Linked DNA regions of Caenorhabditis elegans. The protein of the gene in region 1 purifies or fractionates together with the protein of each later gene. This does not show direct contact. Each region holds a gene or a part of one and is shown in the gene's direction. Other genes may lie near its edges.

Evidence for each region.
Region 2: the proteins of pcdr-1 (region 1) and cdh-7 fractionate together in Caenorhabditis elegans (co-fractionation; one large-scale study listed by BioGRID). This does not show direct contact.
Region 3: the proteins of pcdr-1 (region 1) and tnt-2 fractionate together in Caenorhabditis elegans (co-fractionation; one large-scale study listed by BioGRID). This does not show direct contact.

The regions. Positions count from the first base shown.
Region 1 is NC_003284.9:15,664,719-15,672,798, forward strand, and holds pcdr-1 (Melatonin receptor pdcr-1), read left to right. Parts: upstream 1-2,042; 5' UTR 2,043-2,207; intron 2,208-2,708; 5' UTR 2,709-2,735; coding exon 2,736-2,894; intron 2,895-4,708; coding exon 4,709-4,893; intron 4,894-5,065; coding exon 5,066-5,192; intron 5,193-6,570; coding exon 6,571-6,726; intron 6,727-6,776; coding exon 6,777-6,929; intron 6,930-6,976; coding exon 6,977-7,153; 3' UTR 7,154-7,652; downstream 7,653-8,080.
Region 2 is NC_003280.10:14,841,153-14,846,232, forward strand, and holds the start of cdh-7 (Cadherin domain-containing protein), read left to right. Parts: upstream 1-2,024; 5' UTR 2,025-2,175; coding exon 2,176-2,230; intron 2,231-2,674; coding exon 2,675-2,769; intron 2,770-4,036; coding exon 4,037-4,183; intron 4,184-4,231; coding exon 4,232-4,597; intron 4,598-4,800; coding exon 4,801-5,080.
Region 3 is NC_003284.9:8,720,951-8,725,449, reverse strand, and holds tnt-2 (Troponin T), read left to right. Parts: upstream 1-1,899; 5' UTR 1,900-1,907; coding exon 1,908-1,930; intron 1,931-2,028; coding exon 2,029-2,236; intron 2,237-2,460; coding exon 2,461-3,045; intron 3,046-3,124; coding exon 3,125-3,396; intron 3,397-3,441; coding exon 3,442-3,589; intron 3,590-3,635; coding exon 3,636-3,686; 3' UTR 3,687-3,904; downstream 3,905-4,499.

The DNA.
Region 1 (8,080 bases):
TTTTTTGTCTCCTTTCGTTTCCCACCATCGGCGGTGCTCTCATTTCCCTATTTAGTTCGGTATTGTTCAAATTGGCCTACTGCCAAGATTTCTGAACTCCCATTCGAAACGTCATTGGAGGTTCCTGTTTCCCACCGAATGGCCAAACCGATTTGTCATTTTTCTTTTCGATCCCCCCTTCTCCATTCTGTCTCACTTCTTTTTCCCAGGAACCTAAAATTTCTATTAAAGCGTGATTCCACTATGAGTCATTTTATTTCTGAAAATTTGGTTATGGCTGAAGCGTGTTTTCAGGGAAAACGTGATAATATAGCATTTTAATTTTCTCAAAGTGAAAAACAAACAAATTTTTCTATTATAATTATCACTTTTATTCATGCTTGTTCGTTTTTCGGGTTTTGTCTTTTCAAAAATCTGATTGTTCTTTTTCTATCATGCTAAAACTATCAAACCTGATAATTTTTTTTCTTTGTAGTTCAAATACGCGGAACAGCTCTGAAATTTGCAGCAAAAAAAAAACCGATAAATTTTCAAATTTTCCATTTATTAATTGAAAATTTTTTTGTGTGTAAACTTTTTAAAGGTGGGGTACCGAAACCTGGGATATATTTTTATTTGACTCCAAATTTTCCCCTGATTCCGAATATCAATGTGAAAAAATGCAAAAAAGGTTTCCTGATTATATAATTAAGCTTGAAATCATGATTTTAATTTGTGCCTCGGTCTCTTTTTTCAAATACGCGCCAAAAGAAATTCACATTGGAGCGCGCTTGCATTTTTTGATTTTCTTAGTTTATTTTATTTATTTTTGCCGAATTCATTTTTTTAAACCAGTGTGATTAATTTTCGTCAAGTTTTCATCGTCGGTTTTTCTCGGAAATTTTTTTTTCGACCAGAATGAATGAAACTGGTTAAAAAAATTGAATTCGATTACAATTCAAACGCGCTCGAATGCGAATTTCTTTGAGCACTAATTTGAAAAAAGAGCCCGAGGCACAAATTAAAATCGTGATTTCCAGTTTAAATATAGAATCAGGAAAATTTTTTTGAATTTTTTACATCTATATTCGGAACCAGGGGAAAATTTTGATCAATTAAAAATATTTCCTAGATTTCGGTACTCCACCTTTAAAATTGTGATAAAGTTTTCAAAACCTTATACAAAAATTTAATTTCTAGATTTTGATTAACGGTAAAGTAACGTAACAAAAAATGTTAGAGTTAAAATTTTTTGTAATTCTTTCAAGTGTTCCATCCTTGTTCTTTCGTTATTCACTGTATTTCCGGTCAGATGTATTAACTGTAATTAGGAATGTTGTAGAAACATCTAAGTCTCCAGATACAGTCCCATTCACTTTTCAAAAAAATACTAATTCCCTAAAAGTTGAAAATTCAACAAAATATGTGGTCATCGCCATTAGTATCAACTTACGAACATTTTGCATTCCAGCCAGCAGATATTCACTTCCTATCCTTCTTCTCCTTTCGCCTTCTTCTCTCACTCGTCTTTCCCCGGCGGTGGTCCGTTTTTGGGCCCCCATCTCTATCCATCTTTTACTCTTCTTTTCCTCTCCCATGTCGCAATCCGTTTTCTTTTCCGAAAACGAAAACGATGTGTCCTTTGTTGGTGAGGCGAGTGAGCCATTTGTGGGGCAGAACGCAAATTGGCTCCTCTCTGATTGTGGCGGGGAGGTCCCACGCTAAATCCGAAAGCCACGACGACCACGACTAGAAGACTCCATCTTATCTTCCTTTGACCAACTATGTCTTCGTGTCTCTTCTGGTGGTGGTGTCCTGGTGCAATGCACAATTTTCTGTGTTACACTCCGGCACATATTCACACTTTTTTTCTATTTACATCCATCATAGGATGTTTCTGAGAACTTCAGCACCTGCCAAACTTGTTTCCTGGTTTGGTTTGAACAGAATTTCTTTGAATATGATTGAATTTCAGTTTGTCAATTCTAGCCAAATTAACCTTTTATTTAAAATTGCCTCTCCCGTTTCTTGCTCGAGCACTTCTCGAAACTCAAAAATTACAGAAAGAACAGCGATAGGGTGGTCGTGCCGGTGTCGAACCAATAATCCGCAACTTTGGCGTCACCTACTTACAATTTGATCTACAGAGTGATAACCAAGACAACATCGAGACTGGCACACCTTCGGTTTTCTCATTGGGGAACCTGAATGGCCTCATTAGGCACAAGGTGAGAAGTTTTTTTTTTTCATACGGTAGTCTAATAAGATTGTGAACTGAAAATTTAAATAAAAATGTGATATACATAAATCACCTGTTCTCATTTTGAGGGTTAAATCGAGGATCTGATGTTTATGGCTAACACATATTCAGCAGCATAAAATTGTATTTCAGAGCCCCTATTTTCTTTGATAGCTGATAAATATCATTTCGGCTAACATGACAAATATTACGAAGTTTTCAAAAAACATCCCAGGACACCTTCGTTAACACAACTGGGTTAACACCACCCTGTATATTTTGAAGCAACAAAAAAAGGCAACACCTTGATGTTTTAAACGAACTCTTCAAAAAACGTTGAAACGAAATTACCATAGTTACACATACACGGCCCATGATTTATTACAACGTGCACTTGAAAAACTTTTCTTTTGAGTAGCTGCCGAGAAATTTCTACTAGATTTTCATTTTTCTTGCTCAACCTCCAGCTTAACCTTTCACAAACTTTCAGGTGGCACTGTGGACGACGAGCCCGAGTATGTGGCCGCCTGTCGATGTTCGCAGTCTGACCGCGGAGTCGTTGGGACGTGCGTCTCTCATCCTCGCCGTCGACTTGCTTCTTTTTGTCACATCGATTCTCAACATCACTGTCATCGCGTTCACCCCGGACTTGTCTGACGTTATCGGATGTTATTTGGTGAGTAAATCCGCTTGAATAAAAAAAAACGCATACAAAAGCAAAAGAGCATAAAAAATTTGCCCCGTTTTCTATTACCATGTCCCCAGTGGCTTCTAAAATCGTTGGCTTTTTCTCCATAAGGTTCTCATTTTTAATGCATCATAAGAAGGAAAAAATCTGTATGTAGTCATTTTTCCAACTTCGTGACTTTTTTGTTGGAAAAACAACTTTTGTTTCTAGTTTGTTGCAAAACAACTTTTGTTTCTAGTTTGTTGCACGTAAACTTTTTTCTCACAAGTTCACAAAAGCTGCAAATTAACGGTCAGCAAATGAGTTTTAAAAATTGAGTTTTTGTTGGTGTTTCGCTCACTGCTAAAGGTAAAAAAACGTCCGTATTTTTTAAAAATTTAAAAGAAATCTTTATCTTTTGAAAATTAGTTCAAACAAACAATAATCTTATTACTTGAGAAAAAACTCTAAACTATTGTTCACAAAGTTTTAAGACCTGCCAATAGTAAGATGTTACCAATTTCAAAACAACTCACTATGGCTCCCATGAGATCACTGCATGTCTTCAAATGTATAGTACGGCGCGGACCCCGAATGTGTCGGTCGCTTCCAAACAATCACCCCAATGGACTACGTTGTGCACACACTCGTTTCACGCCAATCTGCGGAACCCCGAGCTTGTCGGCCGCTCCAAATTACCTTTCGCACTTCACACACACACACACACACACACACACACACACACACACACACACACACACACACACACACACACACACACACACACACACACACACACACACACACACACACACACACACAGCGGCGCGCGGCGTCGGCTTGAGGCCCGCATTTTGCGCCTCAATCACCTGGGAGCCCTACAACTTACTAATCACAGCACTGACCAAAAAATATATTTATTTCTAGCTTTTTGATTTAAAAAAATGTACCTATGAACCAAAGGCGTCACGTGAATTTACATCATTTTTTGCTCATTGTCGTATAGTTCTCACATTTTCATTTTCCTCGTCGATTCTATGTTTTATTCAAGAATTAAAATATAAAAATCTAGCTTGCAATAAAATTTTGTTCAATTCTAGACAAAAATTTTTAAAGAAAGCTGATCTAATATTTCCAACAATTTAGAGCCTAAAGCCCGTAAAATGACGTGATGCAGATCATAAAACCCAATTTCCTCAAATTTAATTCTTCATCTCCTACCCGACTATTCATTTATTTTTCTCCGTTTCCCAATTTCTCAGAACGCTTTGCGTATGATCCATCGCGCGCGCGATGCTTTCATGGCGCAATGCTATTTCATCATGTGTGGCCTCTTAATTTATGTGCAAAAGAAGCATTAAACCTCCTCTCATATATTGCTCCTTGTCGTCTTCTTTTTTTCTGTTTTCTCCAAATGTATAGTCTGCTTTCTAGACAGGAGAGAGGAGATGAATAATTAGGATCAAAATTGAGTTCGGAATTTACAAATTTTAATGGGAAATTATTTGAATAAACTATAATATAAATTTCTTATTTCAAAATGCGGTCATAATCAACTTGCAAAAGCGACCTAACTTGGCACATAGTGTTGATTGTCATTTTTGTGTGTCGGGGGTGTGAATGTTAACGAGATGGAGGTTCTGCATCAGACTCTGAGAAAACCTAAACTGGGTTGAATTCAATTAGGCACACATTTCTGTTTCTGAAGAAAACATTTTGGTGTGAAAAAGTGAGTAGCTGCGCGGGTTTGAACCTCTAAATTCACAACTTGAAAACAGTAATAATATGCAGAACACAATTCTCAATTAATTCTTTATTTCCAGATATCCCTATCAGTGGCGGATTTGCTAACCGCAATCTTCGTCATCCCCCTGAGCATCTATTCAACTTTGGAAGGCAACTGGCGAATCGGTGGCGACAATTCGATCATTTGCAAAAGTGCGGCCTATCTCCAAATTGCACTTTTCTGCTCCACCGTTTACACTTTCGCATGGATATGTATCGATAGGTTGGTTATATAATGACGATTGTATATTTCCTTTTTGGTAAGAACGGAAACGGAAAGCAAAATTGCATGGTGATGACAAATCTACCCTTTTTACACTTGCTCTTTTATACTATATAATATTTAAAAGGGGAACGGAGGAATTATTTGAAAAAAAAAAGAATTTGAATTTTAGGTACTCTGCAATGATGAAGCCATCACGATATAGCGAGCAGTCACTAACTAGGTGCAAGTGTTGGATAGTGTTTAGTTGGTTAACTTCAATGCTTCTATGCTGCCCAATAATTGTTGCAAGAATGCAGGTTAGTATTCGATGATTTCCCGATGGGTTCCAAAATTCATATGTTTTTGAAATTAATTTTCAAAAAAGTAGGTAATATTTCAAAAATAAATTATTACAAATCTGACAATTCATGACGTTGGATAATAAATTATTTTTTAATTAGTCTTGTTATACCATGATATACTAGAATATCAAGACTAACAACAATTTTTCATAGTAATCCCAATGAAATAGTGGCTCTGGGACGCGTCAAGAAAAAAGATTCGACTGCGCTCAATCCACTAGGTTTCCAAATTCTTTTGGTTTTTATGTTAACTGATAGTAAGAAAAAAATAGATGAAAATATGCCAGCTATTAGTTAAACAAAAATGTCTGGTTTCAAACGTTCTCAAATCGTGTTTTCTGTGTGCAGTACTTGGGTTCCCATTTTTTGGGGCACCCTGTAGGAAACGTAAATCTTGCATTTCAAAATCAATTTTCATAGGTCGAAATTGTATTTTTATTTGCAAACATAGGTAGAAAACAATATCCAGCCTATAATGTTGCGTACAACTGACAAATGTCCAGTAGGAATGTACTGTGCGTTTTCAAATTGGAACTGTTTAAGTATGAACGTTAGTGAAAAAGCGAATATTTTTTATTACTTAATGGTGGAGTAGCGCCAGTGGGGAAATTGTTAAAAACCACTTCTTTGGTCCCAAAATGACCAAATATCACAATAAAACTTTTCAAACATTTTTTGAAAATTTTTTATTTACTGTCAAATAGTGACAATTACTCAATTTTCGCCACTCATAATTTTGGAAGTCGTCCAAAAAAAAAATGTTTTTCTACATTTTTTATGCTGTTATTTTGTTTAAATTGTTTGTATTAAATCATTGCAGGGGTCGGAACATGCAAAATTGCTTTGTATTTCCTCGAAAACTCATGTTTTTCAAAATTTTGGCCATTAACCGTTTTTGCCAAAACTTTGACCGGAAATTATGAAAAATCAAAATTTTTTTGCCGTGTTTTATTATGATATTCGGTCGTTTTGGAACATAATAAGTGTATTTAAACTAATTCCCCAATGGCGCTACTCCACCTTTAACAATTAAAATCACTCACAAAAAGGGGCGAATAAAAATTCTGATTCACCTAGAATCTTCAATTTTGTCTATTACTCATTTACTTCAAACATGAAGCCATAGATTTAAGTTTTTTTAAGTTAATGATTATACAAAATGGTACCAAATTTCTGCACTCATCGGCCAATAACTGATCTTAAAATCAATGAAAAAACATGAAATAAACTACCAATATAATATATGATTTTAGGCTAGTCCGACAAGCACAAAATGGTAAAAATTTTAGATTCACCTGCTATTTAACATTTCCAATTCAATTTCATTTTACAGGTTGTGTTCTATCCCGACGCGCAGTTATGTGTCCTGGACTGGTCCGCAACATCTGCATACAGTGTGACCTTACTCCTACTTGTCTTTGTACCAACTTTAGTAACCGTCTTTAACACAGGCTGGAAAATCTGGTCAGCTATGAGAAATCCTGCAGCGGTAAATTTGAAAATCGACTGACTATTGAGGAAAAAAAATTAAATTTTCAGCTTGATGATAGTCAAAGAATGCTCGTGGAAACAGACCCAAACTTTGTATTAACTGGTTTTCTGTTTGTCACATTTTTCTTGTCATGGCTTCCATTGATTACATTGAAGGTGTGCGAATTAATATGGGGCCCATTTGATATGGATTTATCAATGGTAAGTGCAGTCTTAAATCTGAAAAATTAATTTTGAAATGTTTCCAGCTCACATTCTTCTTCGTGTGGTTAGCGGTGTCTGGTCCGTGTTGCAAGTTTTTGATCTACATGTTCACAAATCATCAGTTCCGAAGGTCCTTCCTTTCCTACATTTCATGCTCAATGTGCTGTTCGAGCCGGAGTCGCTATGAATATCATGACATAGGCAACAATTCTTTCCTTTGATTTTTTTTTGATATTTCGATCGGAGTGGTGTTAAAAGTTGAAGTTGGTCGAAAAATGTTTTTCTTTGAGCCTAGCAGTTGCAGTGGCAGAACTGCTTTTATAAAGTAAGAACATTTTCAACCAAAATCGATTTTAATTACACCACTTTGTTATTTCTTCAAATTAACAATTTTCAAAGTTCAATCATTTTCTTCCAAAACGCTCATTTTCAATCTCCAATTTTCTGGTATACAACTTCAGATTCTACAGATCAACTATGATTTTCAATTTATTTTTTTTTAAATTTTTCTTATTTGAATATAAACATTCAAGATTTCTTCTCTTTAAATCTGCCCAAAGTCCCAAGCACTCATCATTTTCTCGGGTTACCAATGAAAGTTCTTATAGGTTTTATTGTGTTCAGATATATATTTTTTCCAATCATTGAGAAAAAGATTCTATATGACTTTATTCGGCTTTTTATTTGTTTTTCTTATTTTTTTATAAAAATTATATTTTGTATTACAATACATTTTATCACTGGAACAAAACCCAAAACCACTCTTAAATAATTGAAAATTGATAATTAATAATACGTTTCGTTTTTCGGTCTCTGAGTTAGATAAAAGCCGCCGTTAGTGTAAGGGGTAATACTGGAGAGGTAATTCAAAAATGTTTATTCTGCCGAAAAATATGTTAAACGACCTATACAGTAAATGACTAGTTATTTTCGGTTTCATCCGTAGAGATGAGTGTGAATGATGTTTGTTGCATCATAAGGAAGTTGTTTAATTAGGTTTCGCATATTAGTTGAAGCTGAGAGCACAAGGAAAGACATCATAAAATAAATTGAAGAAAATTAGAAAAAAAATAAAAGGAAAAATGACGAGAAGGAGGAGAAAGAAAGCCCGCAATAATGCATAACAAAACGGAATAAATTAAAATGCA
Region 2 (5,080 bases), on another chromosome or scaffold:
AAGTAAAAAGGGAAGGCACGATCGTATTTTTTATATTAGTCTCGCATCCCTCAGTTGAGAAATAGCTTTGCTAGAGGAAATACAGTAAGTTAATATTTTTCCAACGCAGTATAACATTCCAAAATAGATATACCGCCAAACCACAACACGTGTTCGAAAAATGGATATTTCAAAACATCGTTCAAACCACTAAGGTGCAAACACTGCCACTAAACAATAAAACATCAAAAGACTATTTCCAACTTAAATACAGACACCTACAGTAATCCAGTCATGATGACAATTGTCTCCACCTTCTTCTAAGATCAGACATCTTTTCCTTCCCACGTGGTTAGTCACTTAATACGGAATGCAGAGTACGATCGACCGCCTGTTGGGGACAAAATATATTTGCATCATTTTGTTGTTCAGAAATCCGATTGTTTCTGAAAAATACTTTGCCCTTTGTTACCGTATACTTGAAACTTGTCATAATTAAAAATAAGTTATTAGGTTTGAGATATTGAGGTTTGAATGATGATGAATGTTTATGTAGTTTTTACATCATCGAACAAAGTATATATGAATCAGGAACGTGCGGCAAATTCGGCAAATATGCTTATTTAAAATTTTCCGTGCTTGTCAAAATCGGCAATTTTGCCGCACACCCCTGATATGAATATTCCATATTTCTTGCTCTCAGGAGTAATTTGAATAAATCTGTAATAATGCAAAACTTATGGAGACTGTTAGAACATTAGATCCTGCAAAGCTAATTTTGAAATATTCCATATCCTTGGAAAATCGATATGTAACAAAATCTTATATGCCGTTTAAAACCAAAATAAAAATTAAGAATTCATTGTAATTTCCACAAAGTTCTGGCGGCAAGTAGTCTGTGCGAGACTATTAAGAGCTGCGAAAAAAAAATTAATTTGCCCGAGTTTTAAAATTATTAATTCTATAATATTAGTGTGCTACCAAATTCAAAGGTGGAGTAGCACCAAAATTAATGTTGGTTTGAAAAATATACCAAACTTCATTATGTGCGCGGGGAGGCAAACCCTACTTCCATACATCAATTTCTACAGTAGTCGCAATTTTAAATGGGATTTATCTTAAAAACGGCTCAATTAAAAAAGATGCAGGGTGTGCGGCACACGATGTTTTCCGGCAACGGCAAATCGACAAACCGACATTTTGTCGATTCTTGCCGGAAAAAAGCAAGTGGCGAAAATTTTCGGCAAATTGCAGTTTGCATATTTTTTTTAAAAATTTCAAATTTCAATTTTAATCGGCAAAGTTGTATGCATTTTTTAAATGTCTCTACATCTATTTTGAAATAAGCAAAATATCTGAAAATATCTAAAGAAAAGGGGAAAAAATAAAAAGGCACAGTTTTAAGTGTTTCAGTATTATTAAAAAATCCCTCTCAAGACTTCCGACAAATTTATATCCGGCAAACGGCAAATCGGCAATTTGCCAAAATTAGAAATTTCCGGCAAATCGGCAAATCAGCAGTCTGCCGAAAACGAAATTTTTTGTAGATCACAAACGTAGATTTTTCCCTCCTGTGTATGACTTCTCAAAAATTCTCAACAAAATATTTTATGGCGATTTAAAATACACTAAAAAGACCAAATTTTGTAGAATCCAGAATTTTTTTTATATTTTTGTGATTTTAGTTGAGCAAGGAATTGTTTTTGATGGTGTACAGATGCACTACATTCTTTCAACATTTGCACTTTTGAGCAACATTTGATAGAAATTTTTCAGAACAGTTTTTTGAAGACTTTGCTTTATTAGAGCTTCTAATATTGCCTTCTCTGGCTAAAACTGGAAAAAACTTAGACCCCATGTTTCAACCCTCAATAAAAAGGCATCCGTTTCAAACTCTTGTTCCAGATACCATCTCGCCTTCCCCCAAAAAATGTTCCGTGAAAAATTCAACTTCTTTTCTACCAAGTCTCTTCCAACGGCTAGCAGCAAGTATCTGATCTTCTTCACTAGATGACCTATTTCAAATGATTTTTACCGCGGCGCTTCACTCCCTTCTTCCATTTGCCGCCCTTGTTTTTTCTTTCTCACTGTTCTGCACAAGGTTCATTTTCTTTTTCCTGCTTAACTATCTATTGCGGGAAGGTAAAAGAGATACCGGCTGTCGAATAAAAAAAAAGACGGAACACCTGGTGAGGTATGCGGGAAGAAGGCATTTTATTACTACTGTTACTACCTCTTTTGGTTTATGGAGGTGAGATTTTTCAAACTTGTTTTCTAGGCTTCTGTTGTAGGCAGGCACGATTTCATGCCTGCCTGCCTATTTTAAATGTCTGCATTTTTACCTGAACTCGCATAAAATTGTTTGATACTTTGTAAATACTTTGAAGACATGCAGGCAGTTTAGTTTCTCTTTTTGAAATTGTTGTGAATTTATGAATTTTTTGGTCAGAATTTGAAGTTGTAATTTTTTAATGATCTTAGAATGTTCAATTTTTTTTTTGGAAAACTGAACAAATTAAATCAAACATGAAATTTATGGTCTATTCTTCTTGGTAAATGAGATTTTGAAATATTTTAATTTGCCACTCACAATACGTCACAAAACTTTGGCAGCCGACATCTCACGGGTTTGCAAAAAACTTGCAATCGCACTACATTTATATTATTGTTAAGCCCTCATTTCAAATTTTTCCAGACCTCCTTTCAATTCCATCCACAACATTCAAAATACCGAGAAATGCTCAAGAAGGTGATCTTATAATAGGACCCGAGTTTATAAGGGCTTCTGAGGTGAGTTTTAAAAAAGTTAAAAGATACAATTTTTTTTATCTAATGCTGAAATAACTAAATATCCAAGAAAAAAGTTAAACAAGTTTTTGAAATTTTTTTGAGTCAATTTAAATAAACCTAAATTGTGTCCAATTTTCGTGCCGATTTGCCAAAAAAAAAATGTGCCGATTTGCTAAAGATTTTACTGAAAATTTTGATAAATCTTCAAATTGACTATGCAAAATCTCAACTAAAAACTAAATTCTCAATATTGGCAAAAATGTGCGCTTGAAAATGTTTGAGCTTGTAGAAAAATTCTAATAGTAAGACAAATTACGATCCCCTATCCATTAGGTAATTTTTAATCACCTACCTATCACTAATGTTCCAAAACCTTCAAGGCTTAATCACTACCCCACACACACTCCACCCTACCTACTACGCAAACTTGTTGTTTTTGACCCAATTCGCGTGTTCGATTTTTGTCTCACTTGTCCGTCAAGAAAACCATCAAGAGATTCATGAAAGAAAAATTTGATAAGACAAGTGCGGTGATTAATGATTATTGCCGAAACCAAGAAAAAAGACAGAGATAGGAAGTGATTACATAATAGGGTCAATTGGATTATCCAATAGATATCTTAAAGGTCTTAGAGTCATTTTGATGAAATAGCAAAAATAAATTATAAAGAACATATGTATTTTCTGAATTTTAAAAGTTGAACAAGAGGTGGACGGCAAACTTTTTTCTTTGGCGAATCGGCAAAACGGCAAATCGGCACATAGGCAAATTGCCAAAAATCTAAATTTCCAGCAAATAAGCAAATGAGCAAGTTGCAATGAATTAAAATTTCCGGCAAGTCGGCAAATCGGTAAATCGACTAATTGTCGGATATCAATTTGCAGGAAATTTTTTGAGGGATTTTTTCTAAGACGGAAATACTTAAAATTCAAATTCTGAAGTTTCCAGAAAAAATGTGCAAACCACAATTTGCCGAAAATTTTCGGCAAGTTCGGCAAACAGGTAAATTGCCTGTTTGCCAATTTGCCGGAAATTTTCAATTCCGGCAAGTTGCCGATTTGCCTGAAAAATTGTTAGCCGCCCGCCCCTGATTGGAATTGTAGTATTAAATTTTAAAAAACTTCCGAAACTCTAAATTTTATGAGATCACTCGATGATCTAATTATATTAATTTTTACTATGTTAAAAAATACAAGAATTTTTTAAAATACAAGAATTTTTACAAGAATTTTTTTGTAATGAAAGAATTTTTAAAAATTTTTTTAGGACATTGACGAAGCTCTTAACTTAGAGCTTGAAGGCACAAATCCGTCCCCAATTGCAATAAATGGCTCAATAATTGATGCTGGTCAGCCTGTTAAATTCATTTTAGTGAACAAAAATGCATTTGATAGTGGGAAGAGCAAGGTTAAGGTAGGGTTTTTATGTGAAAGAGCCACCTCAAAAATACATTTTTTTTAGCTCCAAGCAATCGGTGTAATCTCCGGCAAAGTTCAAGAAGAGACCATCAATTTTGAGGTTGAAGCTTCCTCGGATCTCCCATCAATTCCAGAAATTTCAAACTTCGTCGTAAAATCTGATTTCCAAGAAAAAGAAACTGCAATTGTGAGAGTAAGCTCACCAATTCCACCGAATTCGGAACTAGACATTCTCGGAAGTTACGCTCAACGAGTCACTGCCACTTTTGAAGACGACAAAATTATTCTGAATACAGTACCATGCCACGCGGACACGCCATGTGAGGTTACGTTTCCGTTTGTGGTGATTTTGGTGCTACGGAATGGGGAGAACCACGTGGAGGCCTTGCTCACTTTTCAAGAGGAAAAGGTAAAATTTCAGAAAGTTTTGAATCAGGGGTGAGCGGCATTTAGCTTTCGGCAAATTTTTTTGGTCGACAAATTTGGCAAATCGGCAAGTTGCCGGTTTGCCGATTTGCCGAAATATAAAATTGTCTGAAGTGTTTAAAGGGATTTTTATAAGATGGAAACACTTAAAATTGTGTCTTTTCTAAAAATCTGTTCTTTTTCCAGAAATCCTCTCTTAAAATGGCCCAAAAACTCTACCAAACCACAATCGAAGAGCACACCGGAGAGCAAGACCATCTCGTGAAAATCTCGACAAAAGGTGGAAGTTCAGAGGTTCTATATTCGCTTCGGGATGCATCCGGCCTATTCTCAATTCATCCGAAAGAAGGAATCCTGTCAATTTTGCATCCGGAATTCCTGTCAATTAGTTCATTTGGAGATACTGTAAATTTGACAGTAGTCGCGACGGACGGTGATAAGACTGCCGATGCGATGATCAACGTGA
Region 3 (4,499 bases), 6.9 Mb from region 1:
AAAAAAAATCTTAAAAATCGGATTGTCTAAAAACCAAAAAACTTGGAATATTTTCTTTGTTTTGAAATCATTTATTTATCAATCAAAAAACTATGCGCAAGTGATAATCATCACTTATTTGTTGATACTGTTGAACAGTTTCCAGTGTGCCAAAAAACTGAACAGGTAAGAACTGAACAGAACTATAAAAAATTACGGATTCATAGACAGAAAGCGGGGAAATTCAAATTCATGACAAGGCAGGTTTTATTTCTCCATAATCAATCACAGCGCAACGGCTCACGTGTGTTGCGGCAACGAGTAACTCGATATTTATGTTTTCTCGTTTTCCTGAGAAAAAAAAACGCAAAACAAAAATCTAGGTAGTTTATCAAAAGCATCACTGGAAAGTTTAAATAAATGACATTACAAATACATATTTCAATTTGTGCTCATCGTGAGATTGAGCAATCGTCGCACAAACAACACAATCACATAAAGCGTGAAGAGAACAAGATGATAGAAGGATTGAAACTATTTCGAGAAAACCGATTTGTAGAAAAAATCGTTAAGATTTCAAAGGCATTAAGATTCAATAAGGTGATATCGAGAATAGAGAGTATGTAAAAAACGCCTTCCTAAATTAAAAACTGCAAAAAACTCAGAAGTTACATTAATCCTTTATCAATTTATTAAATGAACTAAAGCATATGCAATTAGTGATATAATAAAATTTTATGCAAAGTCCATTAAAACACATTTGCTGCAGAAACCAATGCAGATCATAAATGTTAATTAAATTGTTCAATACAACAACTTTAAAAGATCCAGCAAAAATCTGATTTCTGTAAAAACCAGAAAGTTTGATATTTTGAGCATATATTGTCAAATTCAATTGCTTGAAACATTTGAAATCGATGGTGTAATAAGATTTCAAGCAACTAGTTTGGATAGATTTTTGAAACCAAATATGGTATTGCACTCCAATTAATCTGAGATTGTTCTTGTCATATTGATTCAAATCACATTATAGGCTTTTTTCTACAAATACACATTTTTCAACATTACCTTGTTTCCCATGAACATTATTGTTGAATTTCTGTTCCGAATATATCATTAAAAACACGATGAGTGTAATCCAAGTCCCTGGATTTTCTGTCAGCCCTTGCTTAGAACACAACTCGCTGTTCTTAAACTTTTTCTCATTTTTTGTTTTCTGTCTCTCACCGAAACATCACAATCCCCCGTATCTCTAGGCCATGTGGTGACGGAAGATTTATTCCGGACTAAGCGACGAGTCGCGGGAGCCCGTGGAGAACCAGAAGACTAGAGATAGCAAAACCCAAAAAGTTGTTTGTTGTCTTCTTCTTCCTCGTCGGCTGCTTCTCTATCTTTCAAGAAACAGAAAGCAAGCAGTAATTTGTGCTCTTTTCACTTCTTCTATCTATTTCCTCTTCATGAGGCAAAGTCGCTGCCGTGTGCTCATCGGCAAGGTTTACAACGCACACCTCCGCCTACCCGTCGTTTTTGTTTGGTCCATCTTCTCTTTCGAATCCCGCGAGAGATGTGATCTCTCGGCGCCGGCGGACTCGCTTCGTTACAAGTTACACAACGATAAGGAGAGCAACGGGAAGAGAAGATGAAAAAGAATGGCACCAACGGCCCCGCCCCACAATCCGGGAACTGGATGGCAGGAGGCTCAAGGGGTGGCTTACCGAAACCACACATTTCTATTGTTCATTCCAACTTGGACACAGAAACGGAAGACGTGTTCAGGCAGTTTGTAACTTAGAATTAAGTTTTGGTATTTGAGCAAAATAATTAGTTTTGAATTTTTTTTGTTTTTCGGCTTTACCTACTTTTTTAAAAAATCTTTTACTGTTTTTCTGATAGAAACTTTAAATACTTAAAATTTTTCAGTGATAACCATGTCTGACGAAGAGGAAGTGCTGTGAGTTTTTTGTGATAGTTGCAAAATTTAAAATTTGAAATTTTGGAATCCATAATTTTTATAAATTATCTAATTTACTAAAGTTTATATAATTTAAGTTCCGGTGAAGAGGAGGAGGAAGTAGAAGAGTCCCTGGCCGAGGAGGTCGAGGAAGAGGAAGCCGCCGCCGAAGATGCTGCTGCTGAAGAGGAAGAGCCAGAAGCCGCCGAAGAGGAAGCTCCAGTCGAGGAGAAACCAAAGCCACGTCCACCAGTTCAGGAGGAGAAGCCACCAGCAGAGATGACTGAGGCTGAAGCTGCCATGCTTGTGAGTAATTGGAATTTATGGATATTGACTGAGTAGAAGTATTGAAACAGGGGTGTAAAGGGGTAGATCGAATTTAGAGAAGTAATGGAACATCAGTTATAACTATAGAACTGATTCTGTATTTCTAGAAATATATATTTTGTTTATCATTTTTTCAACAGTCGATTAGAATTGAATTTATCAATCTATTCAAATTGATTCAAGAATATTTTGGAAATTTTTAGGCAGCAAAGAAACGTCACGAGGAAGAGGAAGCCGCCAAGCTTCTTGATTACGAACAACGCCGTGTTCTCGAAAAGGAGCAAATGGAGCAAGAGCTCCGTGAGCTTAAAGAAAAACAAGAGAAACGTCGTGCTGAGCGTGAGGAAGACGAGCGTCAGTTTGCCGAAAGAAGACGTCAAGATGAAGAGAGACGTCGCAAGGACGAGGAAGATCGCAAAGCTAAGGCTGATGCGGAGAAGGCTCGCAAGAACGAGGAGAAGTCCCGTCGTCAGCAAATGATGGCTGGATCATTCGCCGGAGCTGCCGTTGGAGCCCCAGGAGGAAAGAACTTCACTGTTTCCAACAAGGGCGATCAAGCCGCCAACTTCGGAAACCTTGCTCAAGGAGCCAAGGCTGAAGGACTCACCAAAGAACAACAAGAGGACGCCAAGAGAGCTTTTTTGAACGTTGTTTGCAAGGCCCAAGATGTTTCAACACTCATGCCAAACGATTTGAAGGAGAGAATCAAGGGAATTCATGCCCGTATTGTCAAGCTTGAGGGAGAAAAGTACGATTTGGAAAAGAGACGTGAGCGTCAAGAGTACGACGTGAGTAGCTTTTATCGTCGGGTTTAATTTTTTAAATTCATAAATTTCCAAATCTTTCAAACCCAAAAAATTATTTCAGTTGAAAGAGCTCAACGAGCGTCAACGCCAAGTTGCTCGTAACAAGGCCCTCAAGAAAGGACTTGACCCAGAGGAAGCCGCCTCTTCCGTCCATCCACCTAAGATCACCACAGCCTCCAAGTTCGATCGTCAGACTGACAGAAGATCATATGGTGATCGTCGTTACCTCTTCGAAAACCCATTCGTCAAGCCAGCCTACACCCTTGTCCACGGAACATCCCGGCCGCCAGCAGAATGGGGACGCAAAGAGAACGAGGAACTTGAACAGATCAGGTGTGTGTTTAAAGAAAAATGAAAAATATTCGTTCGTTTTTCCAGAAAGAACCTTGAACCACCAAAGTACGTCGAACAAGTGAAAGCCGAGGGAGATGCAGCCAAGCCACCAGTCAACCCAATTCCACTTCAAGTTCCAGATAAGGAGTTTGAAGATGGACCAGTTCAAAGCCAAAATCCAAATGAGGGAGCTGTAAGTACACGATTCATACATTTTCTCTAAACAATATTATTTTCAGGAGGTTGTGATCCCAGATAGTGAAGCTGCTGCCGAGGCCGTTCCAGCCTAAACGCTCCAACCGTCATCATACCCCACCTCATCATCACAAATAAAAAAACGCTGCTGACAATTCTTTCATTTTACCCCTAACTGTTCATTTTCCCCTAATTTTCAAATCCATCTTTGTATTTTAGAGTGTGTTTCAATGCCTTCTTTTACATTTTTGTTCCGGTGTAATCTTCAACAAACCCAATAATAAATACTCTTTTCACCACGATCCCCATCAAAGTTAAAAAGCAAATAGTGATGAAAGAGAAGCAGCGCGCAACAAACAATAAGAAATCTGTTTTCAGCGAATCTGCGGCGGTAAATATTTGAACAGACAGTTCGAAATGCGGAGAATCCTTTGAGTCGTTCTGACGTGAGTCACAGTTTTAGACGGTAGATGCTGATGTTGATGTTTCTTTGAATGAAAGGTTAAACCCACTCAAGCTGACGTTTTATTGATTTATAAACACGAAAAAATCATATTTTCTAGCATTCATGGTCTATTTTTCCTTACCACGAATAACACATTATAGTTTTACATTAATGTTGGAAACCATAGACTTTTTAAAAAATATTTGTGAAAATTTCGTTTTGAAATAACTTTGTAGGTCATTTTTGAAAAAAATTATTTTAAATAATGTAGTTAAAGGTGTATAACGCCAGTGGGGAAATTAATAAAAACCACTTTTAAGGTGCCGAAATTATTAAATATCATACGTTGTAAAACTTTTCGAAATTCGGAAAATTTTTATCATTTTATATTTAGAGTCAAAAAGTGATAATTACGCTCGTTTGAAAGTCGTCAATTAAAATAGAAAATTTTCATCGAGTTTTA